Linked DNA regions of Alligator mississippiensis. The protein of the gene in region 2 purifies or fractionates together with the protein of the main gene of each other region. This does not show direct contact. Links are inferred from orthologs where the notes say so. Each region holds a gene or a part of one and is shown on either strand. Other genes may lie near its edges.

What was found. Proteins that work in one complex are often made in the same cells at the same time.
Region 1: the proteins of SIGMAR1 (region 2) and RNF185 purify together in Homo sapiens (affinity purification with mass spectrometry; 3 studies listed by BioGRID and IntAct, with this or other methods). This does not show direct contact. The link is inferred for Alligator mississippiensis from reciprocal best matches to the Homo sapiens genes SIGMAR1 and RNF185.
Region 3: the proteins of SIGMAR1 (region 2) and NPC1 purify together in Homo sapiens (affinity purification with mass spectrometry; 3 studies listed by BioGRID and IntAct, with this or other methods). This does not show direct contact. The link is inferred for Alligator mississippiensis from reciprocal best matches to the Homo sapiens genes SIGMAR1 and NPC1.

The regions. Positions count from the first base shown.
Region 1 is NC_081833.1:20,564,297-20,574,524, reverse strand, and holds the start of RNF185 (E3 ubiquitin-protein ligase RNF185), read left to right. Parts: upstream 1-3,265; 5' UTR 3,266-3,429; intron 3,430-10,228. UniProt on the Homo sapiens protein: E3 ubiquitin-protein ligase that regulates selective mitochondrial autophagy by mediating 'Lys-63'-linked polyubiquitination of BNIP1.
Region 2 is NC_081826.1:300,002,500-300,012,727, forward strand, and holds SIGMAR1 (sigma non-opioid intracellular receptor 1), read right to left. Parts: upstream 5,899-10,228; 5' UTR 5,818-5,898; coding exon 5,670-5,817; intron 4,003-5,669; coding exon 3,802-4,002; intron 2,551-3,801; coding exon 2,458-2,550; intron 1,909-2,457; coding exon 1,682-1,908; 3' UTR 194-1,681; downstream 1-193. Other genes in the region: GALT (galactose-1-phosphate uridylyltransferase), read left to right, coding at 6,382-6,409, 7,318-7,487. UniProt on the Homo sapiens protein: Functions in lipid transport from the endoplasmic reticulum and is involved in a wide array of cellular functions probably through regulation of the biogenesis of lipid microdomains at the plasma membrane.
Region 3 is NC_081826.1:86,882,827-86,893,054, reverse strand, and holds the start of NPC1 (NPC intracellular cholesterol transporter 1), read right to left. Parts: upstream 7,034-10,228; 5' UTR 6,954-7,033; coding exon 6,888-6,953; intron 1-6,887. UniProt on the Homo sapiens protein: Intracellular cholesterol transporter which acts in concert with NPC2 and plays an important role in the egress of cholesterol from the endosomal/lysosomal compartment.

The DNA.
Region 1 (10,228 bases), on a different chromosome or scaffold from region 2:
TAATCTTAGGCTGTCAAATGCCCTGGAACATGGGGTTGTACCCCTTATATATGTTTACCCTATCCAGTGTTCATCTGAAAGCTTTTACAAACGTATGACATGGTAATCCTTTGAATCCAACTTGTATTCAATGAGGAAAATACTGCCTTTCAACATTTTTTAACTTGTTGCTATTCCATTTAATTGCTCCTTGCAAATGTTATTATGGGAATAGATGGGAAAGCCTCATTTATCCTCTCCAGATTCTTCAGGGTTCAAAATTACTGTCTCCTTTTACTAACCTTGTCTCTAAACTTGCTTAATTTTTTCAGCCTCTTTTTTGTAAGGAAAGAATGCTTATCATACTGCTGTCCAACTCTGAATCTCTTCTAGTTTAAGAAATAAATGTTGGCTAGTAATCTAGTGAGTAAATGCTATGGATGTATATAGTGAGAGTGTATTTTAAATATTTATGTGAGGCAGAAATAGAATCATTCTTTAGATAGCCTAACATTATAACTTGCAACTATCATTTGCATTGACAAGATTCCCTCAGTAAGCTGTCTAAAGTTGCTTTTAAGTGAGTTGTATAGTTACCACAAAATGTCAAAGCAACAGAGAACATTTTGAGCACATTACTTACTTTCATGCTCATAATACTACAGAAAATCTGTTTATTTTGTAACAATATTCAATAAGAAATTTCTGCAGCAGTAACTAGCTGCACTGATTGCCACCTGGCTCATTCCAGCTCTAATAGGGTGATCTCATAATCCCACAAATACCTTCAGGGCCTGTGTAACATCTCACTAATTTGATATAACATCCAAGTACTGAAATGTTGTTGAAACACTGATGTCCCAAGCCAATCTCATGCTTCTCAGAATATTACAACTGTAATACAGGAGTTTCCTGTTAGGCCAGACCTCTCTTGGCCTTCTATCTGGTACCATGTAAACCAGTACAGCCTGTTCTATGGTCGGGTTGTTGTCAACTAAACGAGCACTCCCACCTGTGCTAGCCTGGGTGAGGAGGGTGTGTGGACACCCAGCAGGACTGAAAACAAGACCTGTCAAAGGTGGATGAGCTTCCTGCAAGCCAACAACTATCTGTACCTGGAGAGGAGATGGGTGCCAGCAGGTCACTTTGCCCAATGAATAATCAATGATGCAAATCAACTCAATTAATCTCATACCAGATTGGTCGAGGCCTGGGTCTACGACTGCATCCAGACAGAGTGCAGTAAAGGAGGGTTGTTACAGCATCTAAGGTGCTCCAACAATCGCAGCAGCCTTGGGACGGACTCGACTTGAATACAGGAGTTTGGCCTGTCTGACAAGATTCTTTGGGTAAATCCAGTATCTCTTATTAGACCAACTCTTATGGGCTCAGATCAAGCATAGACCTATGCTTGCCTGGCAAGAGAAACACCATGACTATGGAGGCAGTCCTTCCTAGTCACACTAGGGAAAACTGCTCTCCTGGCACAGGGATAGTACTTGCCAAGGTAATGTATAATAAACCTCCCACTTAGCTGCTGGAGTGGGAAGGTCTTGGCTTTAAGCCCACTTTATGGAAATTTAAGTGTCCTCCCTGGCTTGCCCCTGAGGTCCTATGGCTGAGGGCAAGCAAAACTTGGGGGCATCTGAACCCCAAGCCTCTGGGCTTGGGCTTGCAAGTAGGATGCCCGCCAAAGGTTTTGGAAACATCTGAAGCCCCAGGTGTGGGTGGAAGATGTTTGCTGGTAGTAGGGACACTTATGGTTCTGGACCAACTCTTGAATTTGGAATTTGTTTTGGCTAATTTGGCTTGGAATATGGAAAATTAACACCCCCCCCTCCCCCAAATAGTTTGAAAAATTCTTCTTACCAAGCTTTTGGGCACAAACACCCTTTGTCAGACTGAGGAAGCATCTGCAGATGGTCTGTGTTCTTCCTGGATGGCATGGTAAAGCAGCCAGAGACCAGTACTTTTATGCAAGAAAGCTAGTCAGTTAAATGTAAATTTAAGTGGTCAGTAGGTGAGAGACAGGTGGGAGGGGAAGGGGGAATGAATATAGCTGTAGTGAAAGGATGGGAGACAGGAGGGTAGGGGGGAAGGGAATGAGAGTAGCTGGTAAAGTAGAGGGTTTACGTGGGGAGTCAGATGTTAGATTTGACTGTCTGACAAATTCTCCAACAGAGCAAATATAACCAAGGTAACTAGCTGAGCTTTATGATGTAGGGCAGGATTAAAACTTTTGTAATAGCATAGCTCTCCATTCTAGATATTGTTCACATCTCCACCTCAGTTGTTAGTGTGATACATTCATATCCCAATCTAGGTTTTTTTGGTGATACTGTCACTGTGGACTTAGAAACTTTTACTGAGGGCAATTCTAAGGCTTTTAGCATGGCTTCCTTCCCTGGCACAACTAAATGTCACAGCTCTTATCAAGAGATTCACCAAGTTAACAGGTTCACAGAAGGTTAGGACTAGAAGGGGCATTGGGTCCAGCCCTCCTACTCTGGGCAGGAAAGACTGCTGGGGGCAATGTGGCAAGCAGCAGAGGGAGCTGAGGGTGACCACTGGGCAATAACTGGCCATGCTGACCTCCCTGCTTCTGGGCTGGGGGCTACGCAGTCTGCTCTGCTGTGTTTGAATCCATACACTGGGCCTGTGTGGTTTTAAGCTCTCCCTTTAGTCCCTGGGTCAGTCTCAGGCAGTGCCTCTGGCTCAGGCCTCCTTCTGGCACGTGCTCTAGACATGCATAAGAACACTGACATGGATTGCCATTTACCGGGTCAGACCACAGGGCCATCCAGCCCAGTAGCCTTTGTCACCTGGCAGCACAGATGCTGAAAGGGAGAGAGGACTGGGTATAACCAGGGGTTTTCCCACTGTTTCTCTCTCACTTGCAGCTTCCATGGTTGATGGAGGAGGGAAGCTCTCATTCAGAGGCCCCCATCCTGCCCTTCCACAGACTGGGTCTGGTGCCTCTCTGAGGAGCCCTGGCCCGGCCGCCGGGGCAGCACTGGCCGCCCCTCAGCCAGGTGACGGTCACCCCAAGGCCCTTGTCCCCAGCGCTCTGCTTTTGTGCACATCCCTTCGGGGCTGGGGATGCCCCGGGGCAGCAGGGAGGTGCCGCAGGTGCCGCCGGCTGCTGCTCCCTCCCCAGGCGCTGCAGGCTCGGGCCTTTCCCTCGGCCCCGGCGCCTGCTCCCCGTCTCCCGCCTTCTCCTCTGTGGAAAGGGACGGAATGGAGCCGGGCGCTGCCCGTCCGTAGGTGGCGGCTCCTCCGTAGCCCCATGAGGGGGAGACTTCCGCCCGGCCCCGGCTCCCGCGGAACCCCAGCGCTGCAGCCCGGCGCGGCGGCGGAGCGGCCGGTCCCTTCCCGGCGGGGCGGGCTTCCGGGGAGTCAGGTGACGGCCGCCGGGGCCGAGCGCGAGCGGGAGCGGCCCGAGCCCCACAGGTGAGCGCGGCGGGGAGTCCTGTCCTGTCCTGTCCTCTCCTATTCTGTGGGGTCCGCCAAGGGCTCGGGGCGGCGCCGGCGAGAGGCTGGATCCAGCGCGGGCGCCGAGGGCTCGGCCTCGGGTGCTGGGCTCGGCGGGGAGCGCCCCGCGGGCTGGGACGTGGCGCTCCGCCCTGGCCGCTCGCGGGGCAGCTCTGATGGGGGCAGCGGGGCCGGGGGTCCCCGGGAGCGACTGCATCGGCAGCGAATTGAGCCCCGGGAGCAAAACATCCCGTAGGCAACTGAATGGGGTTTGCTGTAGCGCGTGTTTAGCTCCGATGTGGGATTGTGGGGCGTAAGAGCCGGGCGTAGCTGGGGGCCTCCTCGCGGCCCAGCCGGGCGGGGCTGACAGGAAGGGCCCCCGGGCGCTGTCTTGTCCCTTGTCGGTTCCTGCCTCTGAGCCGGGGCATCGGGCACCGTCGGGTGTGCTCGGCTCATCCGGGTCTCATGTTTTGAACCTGTGATCTTCCTCCTTCCCTGTGTTCTTTTGTGTTTTCTCCCAAGAAATGAATTGTTACTTTCTCAGGGGCTTCCCTTTTTAAGGGAGGTGTATGGTTTTTCTTGGTGGGCAATGGCCCACAGTCCCTTGAAAGCAGCAAATAGGCCTGTAGGCCTGTCCCTTGTCGGTTGGTGCCTCTGGGCAGAGTTTCACTGGGAAGTGCCCACTGGCTTCTTGGACTCATTTGAGGGTTGTTGGGCACTGGCCGTTTGCCCTGCTCACTGTCCCACCTTGGCGCGCTTGTATTGAGCAATGATCTCACTCCTATCCCGTTTTCTCTTTAGCTATACCCCCAAACAACTTGACCTATACCCAGTAGACTTCCCTAATAACAGGGAGGGGCTAACCACTGCTCCATGGGTGTTCAGCCCACATTAGCCCTGTGTGTCAGATGGGGCTGGCATAGCCAGGTTATCTTCTGGGATTGTTCAGCATTTCCTGATCTGCACAAAATAAACTAAATACTTCTTTATTGTGTTTAGAAGTGTCAAGCAAAATCTCCTTGGTCAGCCTATAGAGATCTTTATCCATTGTCCACATCAACTCCTTAAAGAATGTTTGCTTTTAGTAAGTTAATTCCTTCATGCTCTACTGCCAGGAAAAATATCCGGGTTGTGTTATCAAACTGGTTAAAGCAGTTTTGCTTTATTCCTTGGATGTGCCCAGGTAAAAACAAAAAACAAAGCAAGCAAGCAAGGGTGCTTTTGGATAAGTGTTGTTCCAAGTTCTGTCTGAATTTATTCTCTTTTGGATGGAAGACAAAGAGGATAAAATGTGATTTAGTTATTTCCATCTCTTCAGTTTATTTTCTGATGGGTTGTAGTTCATATGGTTTCACTGTACATTGTATACTGACAATAACATTGCATTTGTGAAGCACCTTTAATTTCAGTGGATCCCAAAGCACCCTTTAAATGTAGGCCTCCAACTTCTGTCAGGTTCTTGAGCACAGGTCTATGAAGAAATTAAATAAGGTTGTGTATTGGTTCATGGATCCAGGCTGGGATAGTACTTTACACTAAAATGCAAACTATCTGTAAGAACCACCGATTGAATAACTGAAATGTGTATAGGACAGAGCAACATACAAACACAGGAATCTGGAATGTCTGTCTAAAGAGCAAGTTAAAGCATAACCTGTTTGTTTCTCTTCATCCATCCCCTGTCCCTTAACAAGTAGATAAATATGTGTTTAATAATTAACAAGTTGGATTGCCTCAGTTATGTACATGTCATGAATATCATAAAATGAACATCAAGGAATAAACTCAGTGCCCTAGCAAGGCGGGGAGAGTGGGGTGACCGCCCTGGGCACCAAAATGAAGGGGCGCCAAGAGGCACTGCCCAGCCGGGTCAGTGTGCAGGACAGAACTGCAAGCAGCTCGTATGGGGAGGCACAGGGATGGGGGGGAGGGCAGCTCCTGCCACTGCATGCACTCCCAAGTAAGCATAGAGGGGAGGGTGTGCCCCCCCCAGATCTGTGTCTGGGGCAAGAGTGGACTGCCGCTACGGGCTTTGCCCCAGGCACCAAACCTTGTTGCTACAGCACTGAATATACTTATAGTTTTTTGTGGGGCAAAAAAGTGATTTCTGACCACATGTTTATCACACTTAAAGTTCAGGGAACTCAGTTTATTTTTCATATTGGTGTTTTGTTGTTTGTGTGGGCTACATGTTACAAACAGTCTGAAAAGAAAGGTTTCCTGATGCTTTTACTGTTAATGACAGTTTTTTTAAATTTTAATTGCTGTGTTAGTACATGAGAAAGTGATCGAACTCACTTTCATTGCTCAAGTTGAGGGGGGTTCAGAAACTAAATACAATAGAATTCGTAATGAAAAGCAAACTTGATTTAAAAATTCCTTCAGTTTATTATAATCTCAGATATAACAAAGTGCAACTCATTAGAAGTTTTGTATTCATTTTGCTAAACAGAATTGTTAACTTGACAGGATCCCTTTTGATTTCATATTTCATGTACATAGCAACAAGAAGTATAAAATAGGGCTATCATCACAGTTAATGTGTGCGATTAATGCGTTAATCAGTTCCTGCATTAATTTTTTTATATTGCGCATATGGTTTTGGAGCCTGCTTCTGGGCTCCAATCCACCAACTCCAGGTTGCCTAGCGGGACAGTGGTGGCAGCACAAAAGACCGCAGGGCAGCCCAAGTGGCTGCAGTGCATGGGGTGTGGGGGGAGGTGCAAGGACAGATGCATACCAGCAGCTGCGGCCTGCACGCTGTGTGTACAGCAGTGCTGCACCATAATTCTGTAGCGGGGGAGAGGTAGGGGGAAAAGGAAGGGGCATGGCAGATGAAGTACCCCATGGTGAGGGAGGAAGTGGGGTAGGGGCTGGGGTGAATAGGGCCCTGTTGCCGGGGTGGGTTGTGGGCCAGAGCCACGAGAGGCTTATCCAGGGGTGCACGGGGGCTTGGCTCCCTGCCGCTGCATGCAACCGTGGGAGAGGGATAGGGGTCATGTGCAGAGGTAGGCTGCCCGCTGTGGGCTGGGACTCTGCACTCTGCTGCTTTTGCCCAGGGAGCCACATGCTGGCCACATGTTCCCTACCCTCCCAGCTGTCGGACGCACATCGTGGCATACTGCAGCTCCTGGGGCAAAGGCAGAAAGGCATAGAGCCCCAACCTGCAGCGGCAGCCTGCCTCTGTCCCGCACACAAATTGTGGGGGGGGTGGCCCCCATGCCTCCCCTGGGGGTACACACAGTGGCAGGGAACCATGCCCCCGGGCACCCCTGGACAAGCCTCCTGTGACTGTCCCGTGACCTGCCCTGGCCCCATGGCCCCATTAACCCCAGCTCTGCCCCATGCACAAATCAGGGGGCATGTGCCCACTATTCCTCCTCCACAGTTGCGTGCAGTGGCAGGGAGCCCCTCACTGTAGGAACCTTGATCGCCCCTCCACAGACATAGCCTCCAGGCGCTGTGCATGTGTCTGTGACTGTACTTCTCATTCCCAAACCGTAGCCCTCCCAGCCCTGCTGCTGCCCCTCACTCCTGCCCCACAGCACCCTGCATCCTCCCAAGGCATGCAGGGATCCCCCCTCCTCAGGCTCCAAACTCCACACACACACCCACAGCCCTCCACACGCACCCCCAACCATACAAAGTCCTGCATAATTTTGAGTTCTTTTGCATATAATTTTATTTTTTAGCTGTGCGATTAAAATCACAACTAATTGCGACTAGTTTTTTTTTTTTAATCGTGCAACTAATCTTAATCAAATTTTTTAAATGTTTGACAGCCCTAGTATAAAATATGTAGTGTTGGCATCTAGTCAGTGACATAGATCCCAGTTGGAAAGCATTTATTTTGAATGCTTTTGAAAAAAGTAACATTCTGATACTGCTATAACTATATATCCTGGAAATATCATTTATAATTTAAGTGGTATTATCCTCTCTATCTCACATGCTGAATTATTTTTCATCTGCTGTCTTTCCATCAAAGTTTTTGCATGCTCTAAATTAGAAATACTGTTCTTTTCTGCAGTTCCTCCTCATTTTTTCAGAGGCATATATATATATATATATATATATATATATATATATGTACCTTGGGCAAACTTTTATAAGTTTTGATTCCTATTAAGTTCAGATGCTTGGCTGCTTTTAATGACAGTTTCATTATGCCAGCATCTCTTTGGTGCAATATTTGTTGCCCTGCATCTTTAGAATATATTTCCCGTATAATTTGGTAGTGTTGCCTCCCTCCGTTTGCTGATTGGCAGGGCTCAGGTAATACTCAACAATATCCCATGTTATTATTTCTTCCTCAGTCTTAGACCATCTGTTGTTCTCAACTGCCATAGAACTTCAGATGCCAGTGGGCTGCTTCGCAAAGGTCCTGCTTCCCCTTCAGTGCTGCTCTTGTTCACTCAGATTGGCTCCAGATAAGTCTGGGTAACCTAAAGGGATGCATGTTGTAACCATTCATATACATCCTCTGTTTTGTTTCCCCTTCCCATTATTTAAGGAGGCCTGCTTGGAAACAGGTCTTTTTGTTTCTTAGCAGTTAAACAGCAGGAACAGGAGCAGATGATTTCCCATGTCAAGTAGGAATCTTTAAGGGACTCGGTCATTTCCATGGCACAGAGGATTGTGACTTCAAATTAGGGGATAAACAACAGGAATAGGTGGATACCTGAGAAACAAAAAACTTGTTTCCATGGAAATGTCTCAATGATAAAACATAAGAAAAAAAAATGGAAATCCTGTGAAAATTTTTTCCATGAAGTCATAACTAATACTTTTTTTGTTTGTTTGTTTCTTTAATGTTCCTGACATTTGAAGTGCGTTTTGAAGAGTAGGTCTAAACAGTGGACTTGGGAAACTTGCACTAGCAATTCTGTACGCTGCGCTCTCCTTCACAACTTTTTGTTTGCTAAAGCCTGGAAGTGATCTGGTGTGGGGGTGTATCTGGCGTGCTTAATCTATTCCTTTCATCTGAGCCCTGAATCGGACACAAAATGGACCTGTCTGCTGTCGGCCTGAAGTTTCATCATGCAGGCTAGAGTGGTTAAGTTACAACTGTCACAGAACTTGTTTGAACAAAATCTCTTTCCATCCTTGGATTGGGAGGTCTTGCAGATCGAAGCCATAGGAATCCAGTTGTTATGGAGTTACTTACTGAATGTGCTTTCAGTGCTCTGGCTACTGTATTGGGTCTCATGCACATTTGAAATGTAGAAGAGTCTATTACAAACTAGGTTAGATTAAATATACTATATGTCCCAGTGACAGACAACAACAGACAAATGTGGGAAAGAGACTGACTTGCGAAGTGTAGAATCATTAGCATGCTTGTTTTTTGTCATGTAGAATCATAAGCATGCTTGGTTTTGTTAATTTAAGCTATGCATACTGGTTTTTAAATCTACTTTCTCTTGTATAACTAAATTTGCTTTATGAAAAGGATGAAAGCCAGGAGGGAGATCCTTATCTGAAAATGATGTTTTTGGATCTTTAAGTTCCCCAAACTCTTCTCCAGAATATTAAGTGAAATTGCAAGATAGTTCTGTATAAACTGTAATTGGTTTTGTCCATATCTTTTTATTCTAGTTATTACATAGGACTTTCACTGCTGTCTTTCATCTTTAGTGGTTAACTTTTTCATTCAATTATATCTAGTCCTATTGGCTTCTGCTTCATTCTTCATAGTGCTTTGATTTGTGATTTTTTTTTTCTAGTCATTGGATATTAAGGATTCAAGGATTTGTCTGAGGTTACTGTCTATGGAGACTAGTTGTTTAGATAGTGGGGTCTTTATAAATATCCAGGTTTCAGCATCCAGCAGTGAGACTGCCTTCACTTTGGTATTGAACTCTATAAATGTAATCTGTTTTTCCAGGCTGCCTTAAGGGTTACTTAGGTGTGTTTTGTTTTTGCTTTTCTGTCTTTAATATCTTAGTCTGTTTTATCTGTTTTACTTGGGATACTCCCAAGATAAGTGGCATGTCAAACATCTACGTAAAGAATTGTTATTGTTGGCTTTTGCTGTGTTGTGACCCATGTGAGTTTTATTTACTGTTGATTTTTTTTAGTCTCACTAGCAGTGCATGCATCTGGAGGTGATACTTCTGTCCTGTAGCATTAATTTATAGTGGGTCATTTAGTGTATCTTGCTGAGAGAATTAATATTTAATTGTGCCAAATATTCTGATAAAAGGATGCGTGAGAATGCTGAAAACTGTCTTTAATTTGTTGTTTTGATGTTGGTTGTGTTTCCATCTATCTTGAGCTCAAGTGTGCTTTTTATTTTATATATGTACAGCAAGCTGCTTTGCTGATGAGATTAAACAAAACTGGTCTGAGAAATGCTAAGAGTCAGCAGTGCTGAGAGGCAGTGTCCATTAAGGCACTGAAGCTGCGAACACTGAGCTGCTCTTCTGGGACACAATGGAAAATGATGTAACTGAGTGAAAAAGATCTGTAGAAATAAACCTCTTTCCTCACTTGCTCTCTTCTGGTGTCATTGATGCAATAATTTCGTTGGTCTTAAGCATGATGTTCCTTGGTCCAGCAGTGGGATTGTTATTGTATTAAAAGTTCTGTTTGTGATAGCAGGTAGGGAGACTGTGGTCTTGATCTGCAGCTTTGTGGTTCTGCTTCAGGGTTGCTACAAGGGCAGGAAGCCAAGGTGGTCTTTAGTGCTCCAGTGGTAAGTTTTGCAAAGTCAGTAGTTCATGAAATAATACCCGAGTGCTTCAGTGCTGTTCACTTGTGAGAGATTTGGGTAGTC
Region 2 (10,228 bases):
GCACAAGCCAAACCAACCCCTCTTCTTACTCCCCCCACAGCACATAGCAGAACTCAATGGGGCCATGCTAGGAGGCAGAGCTGGAAAGGTCCCAGAGCCTCTCTACAGCCGGGAGCTGGCCTCCGAGGGGCTGCACAATGCTTGCATCCACCCAGGCCCCCCAAGGCCTTGCATGGGGCAGAGACTCTGCGCATAGACTGGTCACACGAGCAGGTTTATTGGTGACATACTTAACCATGTCCCCCCCAAAGGCTGGGACAGGACCAGTCTGACACAAGCAATGGGATTTGGTGGCTGCTGGGCTGACGCTGCGTTGGGAACAGAAGAGGCTGGCGCTGCTGGGTATGTGGCGGACAGGGCCATCTGGATCCCAGCTACAGGGAAGATGGGTGCAGGGGGTGCATAGCTCCCGACCCCACTAGTGCACTGGGACTGGGAGGAAGAGCAGCTGCAGCCCTGGCAAGAGCACATGGGAGCCAGTTGCCCCTGGGAGGGGGAAACGGAGCAGGGCTGTGCCCTCTGTGAAGAATGGGAGGGCCGAGCCACAGGGGCTAGCGTTCACAATGGCCCTGGGCAGCAGGTAACAAGAGGATGGGAACACTGTTGGGCCAGCAGGTGACCCCAAGAGCACCCTCAAACACCCCTACAATCCTCCTACCTCCACCCCATGGGGCAGCACCCTGGATGTTACCAGTGAAGGTGGATGCTGGACCGTTTCTGAGTTCTTTGCTTCATGGAGAAGCAGTATGCAGCCTGCCACCGCTGGGTGGGTGGCCATGGGACTTCACTGCTGCCCCCCCGGTCAGCCCTGTCCCGCTTGGGGGTCAGGATGTGCCAGTCAGGGGGTGCCCAGGTTGTGGGGGTAGGACATATGACGGCTGTGGGGCAAGGCCTCACAGGAGGCAGAAGGGCAAGGGGGATGGGCTGGGTCTGCTCTGCCCAGGCGACAGCCCCTGGGTGAGCATTGCCCTTCCCCAGCCTGGACATGTGTGCAGACCCAGAGTAAGGCTCTTGGTGAAGGCAATGGATGATGGTTCTGCCCTGACAAGGGGAGGGGGCCTCTGCCACCTCTCCCCCCTCCCCTGAGCTGTCAGAAGGCATTACAGCGCACGCTCATGGACAGCTGAGATGCATATGCACACGTGCGTGCCTGGCTGGCACCACAGGGCTCCTAGGGGCACTGGCTGCACCGACAGGAGGCAGAGCTGATGGCAGCAGTGGTACTCCAGGAGATCGAGTGTGGGGCCAGGTCATTGACACCGAGGGCAGGAGGCCAACCCTGGAGCTGGTCCAGGGGGTCTTTGTATCAGACCCTGCTCTTACGCAGATGGAAGTGTCCAGCACAGGGCTGTTACAACCTGTGCCCCCTGTGCTCCTCCCCAGCTGGCACACCCATTTCCTGGCCGTGCTTCTTTCCTGGGAGCACCTCTGGCTGGGCCCAAGCCCCACCCAGAGTGTGCAGGACCCCTGGGGACCCCCGCAGGGCAGCCAGTCTGAACAACGGTCCCTCCAGGGAGGAGCAGCTGGGCGTTCCCAAAGGCTGATCTCCTTCTCCAGCAGAGTCCGGCTAGCCCCCAGAGCTGGACGCCCGCTGGAAAGGGGCGCATAGGTGATGGGGCAGGGATGCCCTAGTGTTATCCAGAAGTGGCAGGGGCAGGGCATGGCCCCCAGCACCCAGACCTCAGTGGGCAGCGCCGATGAAGTAGGTGCTGGCTTCAAGGAGCAGCCCCTTGGCATAGACACGGAGGGTGTAGAAGAAAGTGAGGAAGTCCTGAGTGCTGAAGATGGTGTCGGCCAGGGCGAAGGTCAGTGTGGAGGGGATGAAGCCCCGACCGTACTCCACCATCCATGTCCCAGCGCTCCACTGCACCGCTGTGGTCTCGCCCATCCGGTGCACGATGGTGTCCCCTGCAGGCAGATGCACCGGCCATCATTTTGGGGGGTGGTGGAAGGGCAAGGAGAATCCCCACCTGCCAGCACTGCCCCTGGATTGCCTTGGTGCAGCTGTGTGGGGGTCCCAGGAGGGGCTTGGAAACAGGGGGAGCTCAGCACTCCAGAGGAGAGGCGAGCACTGGCGGGGGCAGCTAAGGCAGGGGCTGACCTGGACTGCGCCTGGTCCCAGACAGCACAAACCTGCTGTCTGCTACACAGTCCTGGAACAGTTCCTTGCCCTCCCTTCCAATATCAGGCTGGCTGGAGCCCTGATGCTAGGCATATAAACCCTCCTGGGGTTGCCACTACCTCTGTCAGGACTTCAGCTTTCCTCAAGCACCCCCTCCCCTGTCAGCATGCTCTGCAGTTATATACCTCCTGCATATATTGCATTTACTTGCCTCGCTGGGCAGCTGTGAAGAGCTCTCCAGAGACCCAGCACCCCCTCCCTGCTTACCCTGTTCCCCCAAAGCCCTGAGGTGACCCAGCCTCAGAGTACAGGCGTGAGGGGCCCCCCACACTCACCTGGGTAATACATCTCGCTTTTGGTTGACCCCTCCTTCCACTGCCGGAAGGTCCCTGAGATGATCGTGTCCGATATATCAGCCCAGTAGCGACCTGCAAGAGAGATTTGGGTCATGCCAGGGCTCTGGGGTGTGGCCCCAGGCTCCCTCTGTCCCATCCAGGCGCTGGATCAAGGTGCTGGAGGGCACGTCTGAGTTGATGGCAGGCTCAGCCATGCAGAGAGGGAGCAGAGCTGCTGGATCAACTGGTTGATTGCAGTCCTGGGCCTGTGCCAAGCCCTGCTGGATTGGGACTAGCCAGGCGGGTTTCTTGGTGCTGAATCAGCCTCTGGCAGGGCAAGGCCATCCAAAACAATCCTTGCCTCAAACACATTTCTCTGCTCCAAAGTCCTTGGCAGGTGAAGCTGGCGTAACTTTAGGGGAAGGGCCAACATGTCCTGCCAGCTGGAACCCAGGAGTCCTGGCTGTGCAGAACAGAGCAAGCCAGGCTCGGGTGCCAGCAACGTCCTTTAGCACCAGTCTCCCTCCCTGCACTGTGCCACCAGCGGTCGGTTCCCCGCCTTGGACCATCTCAGAACAGCCTCCCTGCTCTGGGGAGACAAGCCTGAGTGCCCATGGGGTTCCCCTGGTACCCTAACACCACCTCCCACACGTAGGTGACCAGGCCTGGGCACACAACGCACCAGGGCAGCTGCCGAACCGGTCACTGCAGTCATTGCCCAGTGGGGCCGATGCCTCGGGGTCTAGCTTCGTATTTCCCTATCCCAATTGCCCACTTGTCTCCATAAGCAGTTGCCCCAGCTACTGGTGGGACCAGTTGTTGCTCAGGCACTGTGACTGTGGACACTGGTTGGAGGAGACAGGGAACAAGCCAGTGTGCAGAGCCCCAGGGCAGACCCAGTTGAGCAGGTCCCCATTTGCTGGCATGTCCACTCCCAGGCTCTGTGGCTCGCCCCCCTTCTCCCTTCCTAGTGAACTGCCTCGCAAAGACCTGTCCCAAACAGAGGGCTGGGCCCATGCAGCAAAGCAGTGCCCTGCAGCCTGGCTTACATTATAGAAAATGAGGGCTGGAAGGGACCTCAGGTCACATCTAGTCCAACCCCCTGCTCCAAGCAGGACCAACCCCAACTACATCCTCCCAGACAAGGTTTTGTCTACCCGGGTCTTGAATAGCTCCAAGGATGGAGATCCCACCACCCCTCTGGATAACTTGTTCTAGTGTTTTACTGCCCTCCTGGTGAGAAAGTTTTTCCTAGTATCTAACTTCAACTTCCCTTGCTGCAGCCGCTGGCGCAGGCACAAGACCTGGTGGCTATCAGGGAAGGGGGTGGAAGCGACTGCTTACCTGAGTGACCCCCGGTGTCGATGGCGGTGCCGAAGAGCAGTACGTACTCGGTGAGCGAGGCGTGTAGCAGGCACATGGAGCCCATCCAGCCGCCTGCGTTCACGAACACCCACTGCAGGTCCTCGTCCGGCAGGATGTGGCCTGGGTGCCTCCGCCGCAGCTCCATGATGATCTTGGAGAAGGCCAGCTCATGGTCCAGGCCTACGGCACAGACACGGCTGGCTCAGCCTGGCTCATGTCCAGCGTCTCTGAGAGGCCCCTGCTTCACTTCCATTTCCTGCAGGCTCCACCTTCCACACCCTGCCAGCTCCTGCCCCTGCCAGCCCAAGCCACCGAACTGAGTTCAAACAACTGTTGGAGACTGGATGGGGGGAGCCGGACCTGCTGCCCTTTGCACCGGCTGCTCTTTGCAATCACCCTGGGCTCCCCCTGCCATCCCTGGGGCTCACTGCTCCACTGTGAGCGGGTGCAGGCTGTGCGCTGTGCCCTGCCTGGAGCAGTCCTGGGCTCACAGGGGATGCCCTCAGGCCTCCTGGGCAATCGCAGAGGGCACCTGCTGACCCCCAGCCCTGAGAGACCTCCTGCAAAGCCCCTTGTTTTGCCTGCCTCCATGCACTAAGGCTCCGCCACCAGAACCCCTTGCACCCTTGTGGGCTGCAGCTTCCAGCCCCTTCCAGCCATGCACCCCAGGCTCCTCCCAACCCCCTGCACCACCCCCACCCTTCCCCCAGCCCCCTAGATCAGCTCTTACACCCCTCCCCCAGGTCCCCCCAGCCCCTTGCACCTCTAGATCAGCTCTTACACCCCTCCCCCAGATCCCCCCAGCCCCCTGCACCTCTAGATCAGCTCTTACACCCCTCCCCCAGGTCCCCCCAGCCCCTTGCACCTCTAGATCAGCTCTTACACCCCTCCCCCAGATCCCCCCAGCCCCCTGCACCCCTATATCAGCTCTTACACCCCTCCCCCAGATCCCCCAGCCCCCTATATCAGCTCTTACACCCCTCCCCCAGATCCCCCCAGCCCCCCTAGATCAGCTCTTGCACCCCTCCTCCAGATCCCCCCAGCCCCCTGCACCCCTATATCAGCTCTTACACCCCTCCCCCAGATCCCCCCAGCCCCCTGCACCCCTATATCAGCTCTTGCACCCCTCCTCCAGATCCCCCCAGCCCCCTGCACCTCTAGATCAGCTCTTACACCCCTCCCCCAGGTCCCCCCAGCCCCCTGCACCCCTATATCAGCTCTTGCACCCCTCCTCCAGATCCCCCCAGCCCCCTGCACCTCTAGATCAGCTCTTGCACCCCCTCCCAAGTCCCCTGGCCCCCTGGATCAGCTCTTATACCCCTCCCCCAGGTCCCTGCAGCCCCCTGCACCGCTAGATCAGCTCTTACACCCCTCCCCCAGGTCCCCCCAGCCCCTTGCACCTCTAGATCAGCTCTTGCACCCCTCCCCCAGATCCCCCCACCCCCCTGCACCCCTATATCAGCTCTTACACCCCTCCCCCAGATCCCCCCAGCCCCCTGCACCTCTAGATCAACTCTTACACCCCTCCCCCAGATCCCCCCAGCCCCCTGCACCCCTATATCAGCTCTTACACCCCTCCCCCAGATCCCCCCAGCCCCCTGCACCCCTAGATCAGCTCTTGCACCCCTCCTCCAGGTCCCCCCAGCCCCCTGCACCTCTAGATCAGCTCTTGCACCCCCTCCCAAGTCCCTTGGCCCCCTGAATCAGCTCTTATACCCCTCCCCCAGGTCCCTGCAGCCCCCTGCACCCCTAGACCAGCTCTTGCACCCCTCCCCCAGATCAGCCCCTGGACCCCTCCCCCAGGTCCCCACGCAGCCCGAGCCGGGCCGGGCCGGGCCGGGCCGTACCCGCGTGGTGCCGGGCGATCTGCGCGATCTCGTCGGGCTGGAACTCGTAGCGCTTGGAGCCGAGCCAGACCCGCATCCCCTGCAGCACGAGCGCCAGCGCGCCCAGCACCAGCCCGGCCCGCAGCGCCCGCGGCCCCAGCACCCACATCGCGCCCGCTCCGCTCCGCTCCGCTCCCGACCCGCTCTGCTCCCGCACGGGGCGGCCCGGCCCCAACCGACCCGGCCCGGCCAGGCGGGGCGGCCCCGGCCTCGGCCCCAACCCCGCCCCGCCCCGCCGGGCTCAGCCCCGCCCCGGCCCGGCCACAGCAGCAGGAGCGCAGGGCGCGGCGGCCCCTTTAAGAGGCGCGCGGCGCGGGGCGGAGCGGATGGAACGTTGGGCGCGCGAGCGTTCGGCGCCGGAAGCGGGAGCGGAAGCAGCATGGAGCGCGCGGCAGGTACTGCCGCTGCCGTCAGCTCTTGGGTTCGCCTGATGCCGCGCTGGGGCCAGGCAGGGCTTTCCCCCCTGCTCAGACTGGGGCGGATGATGGAGCTGGGGCTGGTCCTGGTCCTGCTTGGACTGGATGGGACTTGCTGAGCTCCCTTGTGGCTCCCTGCCAGGGACCTCCCACCGCTGCCTGTGATTCTGTGGGTGTCTGTGACCCCCCTTTTCTTTGCAGCAGCAGGACGCTGGTGGCTGCGGCCCCCCTGCTTTCCCTGGGCAGGGTCGGGGGCGATGCCTGGGGCCGACTTCGTGCTCAGAGGTTGGGCAGTGGGTTTGTCCGCGCTGGTTTGCACAGGCTTGATCCTGCCTCAGGTTGGGCTTGGGTTAGAGGGGACCTCTGGGGACCCCCGAGGGTGCTGTGCCCTCCCCCCTGCCCCCACATCCTTTACCCAGCCTTGTCCCCCAGCAGCAATCCTGCATGGCTGCCTGCTGTGCTCAGGACTTGAGGAACTGGGGATGCCAGCCCTGCTGCTGTGTTGCACAGCTCCTCTGCTGCTCTGGCTTGTTCCCCTTCTCAGCGGAGTACTTGCCCTACCCCTCACCCCTAGCTGTGTCTCCAGACCCAGCGGGTGGCAGCAATTACACTGCCCTTCAGGCACTAAAACCCTGTTCACCACCAGTAACCTGTGCCCAGCTCCTCAGAGTCGGGTCCCGCATTCTGGCTGATGGGCCCATGCACCTTTGCAGCACGGACGTGCCCCCAGAGGAGAGCGGTGTGAGGTGACAGAAGCCTCCCTGCTTGTGCTGGCAGTGCCAGGCGTAGTGCCTACAGCAGGCTGCCAGGTGGAGAGGCTTGGAGCTTGCATGGGAGACAGCCCTATGCACCCCTTCAGGTGTGGGATAGGAGGAAGGTGAAAGCCAGTGAACTCTGCTGGAGACTCCCTCTGTGTAGGTCGCTAGCTGATATTTTGAGCCTTGGCCTAAGTGACTTGCCCCAGGTTATGTGGCAAGTCGGTGGTAGAGCCAGGGAGACCACCCAGGAGTCCTGGCGCCTGGCCTGTGCTGAGATTGCAGTGGGAACCCGTGCTGGGCTGTGGGTGAAGTCGGGCAGGTTTGAGGTGGGGGGGGTCTCTGTACTTCTGCTGTGTCCAACAGCTCTAGCAGCACCGGGGGATGATGTGTTCAAGCAGCTCCACTCCCCGCTCACAACACTGCTCTCCCTTCCAGAGCACCAGCACATCCGCTACAACCCTTTGCGGGACGACTGGGTCCTGGTGTCTGCCCACAGGATGAAGCGCCCCTGGCAGGGGCAGGTGGAGAAGCCGGTGCAGGAGGATGTGCCCCGCTATGACCCGTCCAACCCGCTGTGCCCTGGGGCAACGCGAGCTAATGGGAAGGTAGGAGACTGGTGCAGGGGCTTGGGGTATGCTCAGGGCAGAGACACTTGGACGTGCATCCTGGGCATGGGGAAGTGGTGTTGGTATTCCTGCATTACAGAGCACGTGCTTGTCCTGGGCTGCGCTCTGCAGAACCCAGCCTCGCTGTTAAGGGGCCTGATCCTTCCAGGAGCTGGCGCTGGAACCCTGGAGTCCTGATTGCCAGGACCCTGGCTCTGTCCTCTGGGCTTTGCTCCTGGCATCTGGGAGTGACAAAGGAGTTACCCTGTGCCAGGGGCTTCACAGATGATTCTGACCCCTGGAAGCGGCTCTCGAGTAGCTGGCTGGTGTCTCAAACTCCTTCGCCTAGTGGGGTAGGATCAAGTGTGCGGTCTTTGGTGTACATGGATCCATGCCCAGGGAGTCTGGTGTGGTCCCTTGGGGGACAGCACGGGGACACAGACCCTCTCTTTCCCATGGAGGAAGCCCCATGACTTTGCTAGCACCCTCAGCAATGTGCTCCTGGAAAGTGTCTGCAACAGCCACCCATCTGTCCCTCTTTGGCGCGGTCTCCAGGTCGCGGCAGGACTGAACAGACTGAGCTGCCCCTATGGGGGCTCTGGTGGGGACTGGGAATCTAAGCCATGTTGGAAGCCTGTGGCCAGCACTGGGATTCCCTCTGTGTGCCAGTAAAGGTCTAAACTCCTTTGTGTTAAATCCACCAGCCCGTAGCCATGCTGCGGTCACCCTTAGCCAGTGTCCTGCTGTCCTGGAACAGCCCCAGCTACGTGTTGGCTGGAACTTCTTTGTGAGCACCCCCAGGAGGGAGGGAGTGCTGCGGTCAGCTGGTTAGAGTGGGATGCTAATAACTCCAAGGTCGCAGGTTTGATCCCTAGTTGGACCAGGTGATCTCTCAAGGTCCCTTCTATGAGAGATGGTTCTGTGATGATAGCATGATGTGGGCACCCGGGCTGCTAGAACCCTACCCCTGCCTGCCCTCGTCTGGCTGGTCTGAGCAGATGTTGCTGACTGCAAAGACACCCCTGCCCTTTTTCTCCCCCCCCCCTTTTTTTGTCTGCTTCATCACCTCAATTTCTGCTTAGACCCTCTTCTAGGAACTTGCCTACAGGCCATTGTGTTGCAGAACAGCATTGTATTGCAGAACCTCTCCCTTTTGTGATGGCAAGTAGCCCCTTCCTGGGTGGGGGGGGCTTCTGCAGACTCCCTGGAGCCAGAGGCTGGGGCTGCAGTCTCCTTGCTTTTGTCCGGCCCCTGGCTCCTGCATTAGCATATCAACACTCAGCATGCCACAGCCTGAGGGAATTGGCTCGTTGACCCTTGTGCTTTGTTAACCCAGGGCTTGTTGGAAGTTGGGCTGGGGTTTGGATGTGCAGTTGGAATGCCTAACCTGCCTTCGCCTGTTCCCAAAATGGCATTGTGATTCCTCTGCACCCGTGGTGGGGTACAGTGTCTTGGCACATGCAGACGGGCCTGTTTGATGTCACCGGCAGCACAGGACCTATTACAGCTGTTGCTGCTTGGATTATTGCTGGGGTGGGAGAAACCTCCCTGTGGTTCGTTGTCTAGCTGTAATTTGATAGACAGACAACGCGAGTAAAGAAAGACAGCTGTTTATTTGCTCCAGCAAAGACCATAAAGCCAGCAAAAGGCAAAATGGCCCCCCCTCAAGGGTGAGGCGATCTTTTGTACTTATAAGGCAAGACTTACAGGGTTAACAGAAGCAATACTTGGGCGGTGCTTTACAAATCTTTGTAACAGCATATTTCTATTAAGCTGAACTAGCACTCTTTAAAAGCTAAAAGTTAATTAACAGTAACATTATAATATGTTAGCAAAACCTTACACAGTAGTAGATACTTCTCAAGGACACAACCACTGCACCCAGAACAATGGTTTCCCTGTCTTATCTTACTTGCTGTAGCTGATTTTTCAGCGCACAGACACAGATCCACTTTTTAACTCGGAAAATGCTTAATACAGTTAAAATGAATATTTGATACAAGCAAAGACTTAGCTATCATTCTGCCTTGTGGTCAGCTGCATTGCTAGGCCACAGGTCATGCCTTGTATTCAGCTGTAAAGCTAATACTACTTAATAATCCAAATTATTGTTAACCTAACAGTATGCTATCAAAAAAACTATTCTATTTCAGGGTAATAACAAGCATGCGCACTACATTGCTAAAGCTTTGCAAGATGCTTTTCCCCCCAGAGAGGCTGGCTGCAGTTGACAGGCCTTGTGTTGGGGTTGTGGGTATAGGCAGCATTCAGGCTTTGTGGCGTGAGGGGTGTCCTAGCTGAGCCCAGGCTGGCACTGCCCGAGTGGCCTGTCCTCGCGGTCTTGTTTGGGTAGCACTGTAACGGCTGGCACGGGATGAGCACTCTGCTGCTTGTCATGGCAGGTTCTTTTGATACAAATGTGCTGTTGGCTAATGGGAGTGGCAGCCCCTTAGCTCAGGGTGCTCTTCCCTCATGTGCAGTCTCACTTCCTCCATGTACGTGGCTCCCGGCAGGGACGGATGTGTTATTTCCACACATGGGGGCACATGCTGCTTTCTTCAACCCATGAAGATGTACTTGTTGAATTGCCACATGCCATTGTTAAGTAGGGGGCTTCTCTTTCTCCTTCAGCTGGGGATACCTCCTGGGCATGCGGAGATTTGCACCCTTTCTTCCCCTCTGTAGTGGTGCTGATGCATGTTCTTTAAACACCCCTGAACTTCCTTCAGCAGCTGGGAGGT
Region 3 (10,228 bases), about 210 Mb from region 2:
GGAGGCTGAAACTTTAAATGTTTAACTAGAAATTATGGAAGAAGGATAAATTCCCTTGCTCTTTCTTCTTACTTATCAGCAAGAGCAGAGACTTATTTAATCCTCTGACATTAGCAGGATTTCTGTATGTGCATTGGCGGATGTATGTAGCTTAAAAAAATGTGATTGTAAAAGTTGTCAAAAGGTAGAATATGTAAACCTGTCTAAAATACCAAAAAACAAAACAAATGAACAACACCCCCCCCCCCCAAAAAAAACTTTCTTCTAATTGACCACATTTATTCTGAAGACAATTAATCTCTTATCTGGTTAGCTGCAAAGAGGATGGAAAGTGAGCACAATTCCCCAAACTTAATCAAATTTGGTCAGAACCCCACAGGAAACACCTATGCTTGAAGTCCCACTGGCTCTTTGATGCTGCCATGTGCCAAGATTCCAGTCGCAGATAATATGTCAGATCTAATCTGAAATAACTTCCACAAACAATACAAACTCAAGCCATATTGGGAGTTAAGTGAAGTCATGGAATTGAGTGCATCATAGTCGAAATGTGCGATTTGGCTGGCTTAGGAACTAGCAACAGTCTAGCAGAAGCAGCAGCAAACTCAGCCCCACCCAGGTCATTATTTATTTATGGCTTTGCAACCCATACTGAGATCTGTGCAGCTGCTAGACTCCTACCTATACCCAGGTTAGCCTAGGTAGGTCTACACTAATCTGCTATCTGTCAACTCTTTCAGCTAACTGGGTCTCCAATTCACATGGATCAAGCTAACAAAAACCTAAATGGAGAGGTAGTTTATGAATCCATGCACTACTGTTATCATTGACATCATTAGACTTTTGGCCCCAGATGTGCATGCAAAAATATTTACAGCATTTGCCAGTTATCAAAATCTCACTTGGACTCAGCTGCTTATTAGCATCAAACTATGATGTATACAGGATTTTTTGTTGGCTATTAGAAACCAAGTCTCCACTTGTGAATGTCTGCTACATGACTGGGTTGCTCTGAAGTAACAAGTGACCACCACGCATGTCTGATGATGGAGCCCACATGGACTTTTTACTTTGCTCTCTTTATTTTGTTGCTGCTTACTAGAATCATTGGTTGTTAAAATCAAAAGTGCTCTGCCCACTGAAGTTCTAATAAATTACATGCATCTAGCACACAAAGCATTATTTTATATTCAACTTGCTATACTGAATTAAACATTTTTATTCTTCCTACTAATCCAAGATGAAGTAGTAAAAGAATATGCCATCGGGGCCTGGTATGAAGAAGATATCCAAAACAAATGTACAGCACATATTTCCTACCTAAACATTGGTCCTGTATTTCAAACTCAAGGATATAAGGTCACAGGCAGCTTGACCATCACAAAACAATCAGCATGCTGTACAGGCACAAAGAACAATGATCATGTTATGTTGAAAGGATAACAATGATTATTTGTCATTTTGCACCAGACACTGAATAATTAGAGAAGATTGTATTTAGCTTTTCTTCTCCATTTCTAATCTAAAACACCTGGCAGGGATTCCATGAGAAAGATCACAGAACCTCGGTTACATTCCTTCATTCCCTGTTACAGCACCACATTACCTGGAACTTACTTCCCAAAGCAAGCTGCAAGGCTGGATATTAGTGCCGAGTTTAAATGAGAAGCATTGGTGTTATGGGCTATGGAAATCAAACTGATATAGCTTTGCTACGAATTTTTTAAAACTAACTTAGGAAGCTAGTTGCTGCAGTGAATTACTGCATCTAAACTTGACCTTGGTTTGAATGAATCATAGACAAAAAGAACAAATTTAGGAGCAGGGGTATTATGCTTAACTATTAACCATGTACTACCCATCTGCCTGCAATCAGAAAGCTACCAAAGAGTTAGTATGACTGAGAGCCCCTGCTTTGCTGTCCTGCAGTTCAGTAACAATAAAGCTATTGCATATCAGGAATGAAATATATTTTTCTCACTCTTCAATTGTATTGTAGGAAGTTTGCTAGGCTTTAGCCACATCACCAGAGCTATTCCAAGATTCCCCCCAACCTTTTTTTGCTCTACTATAGAATTCTTCCCACCTCCCACACACCCACAATTTAAGAGCTATACAGAAACAGCTACTATTTTTCCACTCTGACCAGTGACTCCCTTCACTTTGGTTCCACCTCTGACCCACATTACATCCCCTAACATCTCAGAGAACTTTAGAGGTTGATAAGTATCATCAAAATCTTACAGAAGGAATGACTGAGACAGAGATTAAAGATCTGTTCAAGGGCACAAGAAAGACTATGACAGTATAAAAGTTGGAGCCCAGGTCCCTGACTTAGTTCTGTAATAGAAAAAGAACACAAAACACTAAGCCACTGGATCTCAAAGGTAGAGAAATGTTTTATAAGTTATGTCAAGAGGCACAAAGACAAAAAAACAAACAAACACACATTCAAACAGCTGAGTATTTGTTCTAATTCTTTCCAACTGACAGTTCTACATAAAAAACACAAAAAGGTATAGTATACTTAATGTCTGCTAAGCCAAGTACTAAATCTTCTCACTATATAAGAATATGCCAATGTTCCAAATCTATTCATCTACTTACTCATGATGATCTCAGTCTACTATTAACTGCGCTAACCCAAACAAATGTCATTTATGTAATTAGTGGTGCTCAACCTATGGTCCACAGGCCAGATCCAACCTCCAAAGCAACTGGGTCTAGCCTGCAGTACAGCAAATCAGTGTCACCCCGGGTTCAGCTCTGCACCCACAGGGACAAGGGCTGTAGATTTGGTAGGAAGGAAGAAGTGGAGCTGGAGTAAGGGGGAGCTGTGTTGCACAGGGAAGAGCACTGCTAAGCCACACAGCCCCTGGCAAAGGCACCCAGCCAGGCACAGGTACAACAACCAGAGTCATCCATGATACAGCAGGAACCTGGAGTCACTGCTTCAGCCTGCTAGGGCCTGGTGATAAACAGCAGCATGAGGCACTCTGCCCAGGGTTGCTGAAGCTGAAGGGCACTTAACACTGCTCTGGGGCGGGTGCTTCTGGCATGGCCCCAGGATCCAGGGATTAACCCAAACAAGCCCAGCCCTCTAGTTCACTATCCTTTCTTCCTAGGGCCGCAGCCACTAGGTTATCCCATGCCAGGCCCAAGTCCACTTGCCACACAGGAACTGGGCTTCCTGGACCACTGCCACTCCACCCCCATGACTCACAAACCACCATCACTGCTGCCCAGGGTAGGTCTGCACTGAGGGAAACTAGTATTAATGGCCTCACTGACCATAGCAAAGGAAAGGGGCCATGGGTGCCACCATAAGCACTGGCGGGAGTCCCCAGACTCTGCTAGTGATCATGTCAGAGATGAAGTAATAGGGAAAGCCAGGGAAAACCCAGGGCCTGGCTGGTAGCTGATACCCTCAGCACTGGGCAGTAGCTGCCAAGAACCCAGCCCAGTCAAGTAGCCAGTAGCAGGCCAACACCCTACCCCCTGGTTCTCACAAAGCAACTGCTTCAGTGGCAAGGAAGTTGATTTCTCCCCTCTTCTAAGAGGGAAAGCAAGCAGGTCTCAGCCAATAAGGCTCAATGACAGCAGGTCTTTTGCTGGCCATCTTGACAAGTGGATTGGGGTGGAGGAATGGGAAGAACCTGTCAATACTCTTCTAACAAGAAGGCAGTGCCATATGTGGAGCAGGCTAGCCCCTAGACCCTTCTGCCAGGGTGACTGATGAAGCCATAGAGAAAGCTGTCTGCTGGAGAGCTGAAGGGAACCTCCAAGACAAGAGTCCTTTGCAGCAACATTGCCCGTGTTCTACCCCCAAACTCCCCAAACAGTCACGGAGGTAGCAACCATGTAACCCTCTCCCTGTTTAAACAGCAGTGGTGACTACACAATAAAAAGGCAGCACTGTACCCATACACACTCTGAGGATTTTCTTCACAGGTCAAAGTTTTATTTTTTAAATATATATATTCCACTGCTCCTTTCTCCTAAGTTAGCAGACTTTCTAAACCTGTCAATAAGTGAAAAATAAGTCACAGCTACTTTAATGTTAAATGAGACTTCTAATAGTTTATAAGTCACGCACATATAAAAATAAAGGCAATTTTGTTTTAAACCTTTGGTGATCAGTTGAGAAATACAGGGCAAAGGCAAGTTTATAGTGCAATATTTTTGAAGCCACAAAATACTCTCATCAGTTACAATTCGGATGAAGCCTTTTTGTTTACTGAACTAAATGAACTGTGGTATCAGTTTAAAGCCTGATTTTAGATAAAACTTTTAACATGCAGGGCTTATCCACTCTGTGTGAATATGAAAAATCCAATTAAAAAAACCCCATATTCGCTCTAGACAGTGTAAGCCAACTGTTACGCTCCATAGGTGCCTGCATATTATGGTGCTTGTCTTATTATACTGTGTTTAGTGATCTATAAGAAATGGTATATTAATGTGAACTATTAGAGAGCCCTGTGCACACTTTTAACCAGTTTGCATACAATAGTAACTTCTTTCCAGCTTGCCTGGGGTAGGAGCAAGCTCCACAAGATGAGACCCTGATAATGTTTTTCTTTGCTAGATCTCTGCAGGGTATCCCACTGGCTTTCAGGTCTTAGACAACACCTTTAGATGCCCTCTCCAGGAGAATTTTTCTAGCAACCAAGAACTGGAGAGGACTTTCTTCAAACCAACCTCAATTCTGCTTCTAGAACGTAGGAGGTCACAGCACAGCAACAAGGGACTTTCCTTCTCCTAATACATCTTCCAGTCTAGGAGAGTAAAGTTCACTATCTCTACAGCACTGTCAACATCTGTCCACTCAGGGACAAAGTCATGATTGAATCCACATCTTGCATGGTGTTACAAAATAATGAATTTCAAGACCACAGAGAAAGACAAAACCACTTTAAACAGAACTGGAGAATGTGTACTTTGCTTAACCCGACTTAGCAAGACAGTACTCTATTCTGCTTACTTGTTTAAAAAAAAAAAAAAAGGCAACTTCAAGAGTTTGAGAGTTAAAACCTCAGCTTCTAAAAGCACACTGTGCTGCCCAAGGAAAAAAATGCAAACATGCATGTGATTTACACTTGTGTGCTCTACATCCAACATTGCCTTCCAATCTCCTCCACTTAAACAAGGACTGCAAAATTACTCATATGGTCACATGAATTTACCTATCCCTCCCCCTCAATAACACTGTAACAAAAGTATGTCCTATTAAATGAGAATTACCTTCCTCCTGAATATTCTTGCATTTCTAAGGCTCTGGCAAACATAAAGTATCTTTCACCAGCATACTCAAGTTCTGTATAATTAAACATTTTTAAAGTCCTCCTAAAGCAGACACTTTTTTGTTCTACCTACATCATGTTTGGAGTAGGGTATCCCATATCAAGTCTCTGTTATGCTCTAGGATTTGATTTCGTGCTATGTAAATCTTAAGTTTCAACTAGTTTAGATGTGATATCCCATACGATAAATGTTAAGTATCATAAGAAAGCTCAAGCATTCAGCATTTTTATGGTGGGTTTGTAGCCTCTGTTCACACCCTGACAAACAAGCTGCAGCAGCAAGCAGCTGTTTTCAGAAAGTTAGGAAAAAGAAAAATAACACCTTATCAATCTCAGCACAGTATATACCACGTGGTGCTCATCGCATGCTAGATATGCTCTACCCCAGGGATGGGCAATTGTTTTGGGCGGAGGGCCGCTTACTGAGTTCTGGCAAGCCATCGAGGGTCGCATGATACGCAGCCAGGGGCAGATAAATATTAATTTTCTAAATTTTTTAGGGGCCCTGTGGGCCAGATAGAATGGCCTGGCGGGCCACATCTGGCCCCCAAGCTGCATTTTTCCCACCCCTGCTCTAGCCTATGCCCTTTTAACAATGAAAAGTATCTTGGGGAGCCTGTGGCAATCCCTGAAACCTCACTGAAGCAGCCTGCAGAAGTGTTGCAACAGTTCAACTGTGCAGATTCACAGAAGCTTAGGGTTGGAAAGGACCTTGTGATTTTAGGATTGCCAAAATGCTTTCTTGCCAGGAAGACAAGAGGCAACTTGACCTAGATTAACCCCCCCCCGAAAAAAAACAACAAAAAAAACAGACCAGCAGCTCTTGGAAAACCAAGCAACAGCCTTCAACTACCTGAAGGGGGGTCCAAAGAGGATGGAGCTAGACCAGAGGTCCTCCAACTGTGGTCCGCAAGCTCCATTCAGGTGGTCCGCAGAAAGGCTGCGGAACAATGGGGGATATCTGTCCTTGGCCTGGCACTTGATTTATTTTTTCTTACAACGGAGATTAAGTCGGTCCACCGAGACCCTCAGCAATTCTCCAGTGGTCCGCAAAAAAAAAAAAAAAAGTTTGAGAACCACTGAGCTGGACTGTCCTCAGTGGTGACAGAGGACAGAACAAGGAGCAACCATGTCCAGCTGCAGAGAGGGAGGTCGTGGTTAGATATTAGGAACAACTTGCTCACTCGGAGGGAGGGAAGCACTGCAACAGGCGCCCAGGGAGGCTGTGGGATTTCCATCCTTGGAGACTCTTAAACCCCGCCTAGACAGAGCCTTGGCTGGGATGATCTAGTTGGGGCTGGTCCTGCAGAGGGTGGGACTGGATGCCCTCCTGAGCGCCCGTGGCTCTCCTGGAGTAGTTGCAAAGGAGAGCTGTCAGGAGAGCCGGCAGCCCGGCGGGGGCTCGCACGTGCGCTCCTGTGACTCCAGCAGAGCGGGCGGCCGCGGGGGGGAGGGGCGGCCGGGGCTGGGCGCGCTCGGGGGGGGGAGCAGCCCATGGAGCACCGGCTGCGCCCCTCGCCCGCCCGCGCGGGACCTCGGGCAGCCGCGTCCTTCCCGCCGCGGGGTCCCGCCGGCCTCACTCACCTGCGCGGGGCCGAGCAGCAGCAGCAGCAGCGCTAGCGAGAGCGGGGCGGCGGGCGGGCGCCGCATGACCAGGCAGGGGCTTGGGCTGGGCTAGGACAGGCGACGCAGCAGCCGAGCCGAGCCGAGCCGAGCCGCGCCACACAGATGCGGAAGGGCCGACTCAGCTCAGCACCGCCCCGCCGGGGGCCCCGCAAGGCGGCGGGAGGCGGAGCCCGCCCGGCCCAGCCAACCCCGCGCCGCCGTCGCTGCCTCACGCCACCAGCCTCGGCGCGGCCTAGTGTTTGCCTCCCTGCGGCGCGGAGAGCCGGCGCAGGGCGTGGGGCTATGGCCGGGGCGCTTCCCGCAGCCCTAGCTCGCCGCCCGCCGCGCCGGAGGCTGCTGCAAGCCTCTGCCCGCTCCCCACAGACAGCCCCAGACTCAGGCACCTCCTCTCGCCTGTCCTGTCAGGCCTCAGCGCCCCTGCGTGTTGCGGCGGCTTGGGTCTCCCCTCCCCGCTAAGCACTGACCCCCTCCTCTGCCCAAAGTTGCCACAGGCTTAATGTCATGCGTGGGATTTGCCCCCTTGGGCAGATCTCGGATTTTGGCAAGGTGGTGGGGTGTGGCTGCGGCCGTACCTGGTCACACAGCAAGCAACCCAGCACATCCACAGGTAGAAGGCAGCACCCGCACACAGCATCACGCAGACCCCAACAATCAGGGGCTTCATCACTTAAAATATAACAGCAGGACGTTGCATGGAACGCGGCACCCCAGCGCATCACCGCGTAAAATGTGACACCCAAGGATGTCAATAGGTGGAACACAATACCCCAGTGCTCCATTGCAGAGAACACAACATCCAAGGACATCGTCGCAAACAACACAATGCCCAAGGACATCAGTATATGGAACACAACACCCAAGGACATCACCACATAGAACGCAATACCCAAGGACGTTAATAGGTAGAACACAACACCCAAGCATGTCATCCCGCAGAACACAACATCCATTTTTCTCCAGTCAAAAGAAACTAGAAGCTTACTAATATGCAAGGGGCCCAGGGCTATATCACTCTGTTGAGGATGGAAGCAAAAGGAAAAAAAAACACCAACATTATTGGTATGGGCACTCATTTGTTAGATCAAATATTATATATAAAAGCCCAACAAGCTAGGCAAAATCATCAATAGAAGTTCTTTCATTAGTCATTAGAATTAAATGTGCAGCTCTTTTTCAGATTCAGACCTTCTTCAGCATCTTAATGATGCATCCACTACTTCACTAGAAGTTATTTCCATACCTGAGTTAACATTTCTAGCTAGAGTTAAAAAGCGTCTGCACAGCTACTTTTCCACCCCATCACCTCAAGGAAATGTTTTTCTTTATAAAAAATGCTTTTTTGAAATATGATACAAAAATCAGAAACACGTATATCGACTATACCTGTAAAACTGAACTGTGTCACAATAAGCAATACAAAAAAAGGGGGGGAAAGGGATGGAAAGAAAGAGAAGTGTGCAATGAGCAACAATTTAGCTACCAAAATAGGCCAAGAATTCCTTCCCGATTGCACCAAACTTTTCAAAGCCATCAAACCTGCTAAATATGACCCTCCCCATAGATGCCAGCTGCACCATCTCATTTTACTAGTTGCTTGCTTTATTGTCAGGGCACAGAATTTCAGTTGCTCATATCGTTTTAAGTAAATTCTGTTTTCTAAGTAAAATGGGGTTTACAAATATTTCATATTTTTTGTAAGAAAATGTATTTAAAATATATTTGTGAGGCACAAGTGTCAGCTGATGGACAACTTAGTGGCATCAACATCAAATAGGAATCTAGCCAATTAAAGAGCTTCATAAGACTGTGAGCAATGTGCTGACAAACTAGTTGGCATATGGACCCAGGTAAGTGACTTAGGTTATCCAGCCCAGGAATGAAAAATAAATCAAAAGGTGGCCAAAAATAAATCCATGACATGTTTCAAATCCAAAACGGCACTTCCTGGATGTTCACAACTTGTGCTATAAGTCTTTCATTGTCTTATTGCTGAAGGATTCTCATCTTGAATAAAGCAATAAACAAACAAAATAGCGTAATCCAGAAATGGCCCACACTGCACTGCCAATTGGGAAGCATTAATTATTCAGCCTACTCACTAGGAACTACCTTGCCTAAAACTTAAAAGAGTTCATTTTATTTTGGCTGAATCTGGTGTGCCCTGACTCAGGTTCTGTAAGCCACGACTGTGTTAGGCCTGCCTCTGCCCAGAAATAGCTGTATTTTACTTGTGAGTTTGCAACATTTATATAGTAACTTGGGATCCTTTGCGGTAAAGAAACCTAAATAAATTATGGTATTGGGTGACAGCATACCGTTGGCGACAAGCTTCTAAATAATTTAAAATGAGCTTGGATAGAATATCAGTATATTTTTAGAAATATATTTCCACAATCCCATGCAAAGTGGGTCATATGACTAAGTTTATTAGTATATTTTATTACAACTATCATTAGTAATACGTTTGTTATATTATTATATTAATTACACTATGTTGACATCATATCTTCCCAAAATAGCTGGAATTATTTGCTACCATGAAATTGTGTAACGCTCTCAGTTTTACTGGGTTTATACCACAGAATAGTTTGCTCCAAAGACATTGCTTACATAGGTGTAAAATATTCACAAACTGCTGACGTCAAGTAGCATGATCAGTGTTGTAATCGTCTGAGACTAAAAGAGTTTCCAGTCTGTTAATGTTTGTTATCTGTCTCAAAGGAAACCACTTTAATTATGAGATGGTGTGACATACTCACACAAGCTCCTGGTTCCTATGGCAGCCTGCTGTTGTGTGTGAATATTTAATCTAGGTGATACAGCAAAAAAAACCAAACCACAAAATAGTCCAGATGTTTGTTAATATGACAAACCATCGCCATCTGTTGGCAAAAATGTTAACTGCTGTGTATAAGTGCTAATATAAATAGCAGGGGTATAGGCTGTAGCTGTCTGTGTTGGTCTAAGGACACAGGCAAACAAGGTAATTTGGGTAAACCTGATATCTTTTATTAGACCAACTCAGATAGTTGGAAAAATTCTTCTTTGCAAGCTTTTGGGTATAAATACCCCTCCTCAGGCTGAGGAAGCATCATTCCATTCATGAAGAGCGCACACCAACTGTTGGTGCTTCCTCAGCCTGACGAAGGGTATTTATACCCAAAAGCTTGCAAAGAATTTTTCCAAGTATCTGAGTTGGTCTAATAAAAGATATTAGGTTTACCCAACATAAATAGCAAATGGCTCAGATGATAATTCTTATGTTTTCACTTTTGACTTCATACATTTTTTTTATCTAA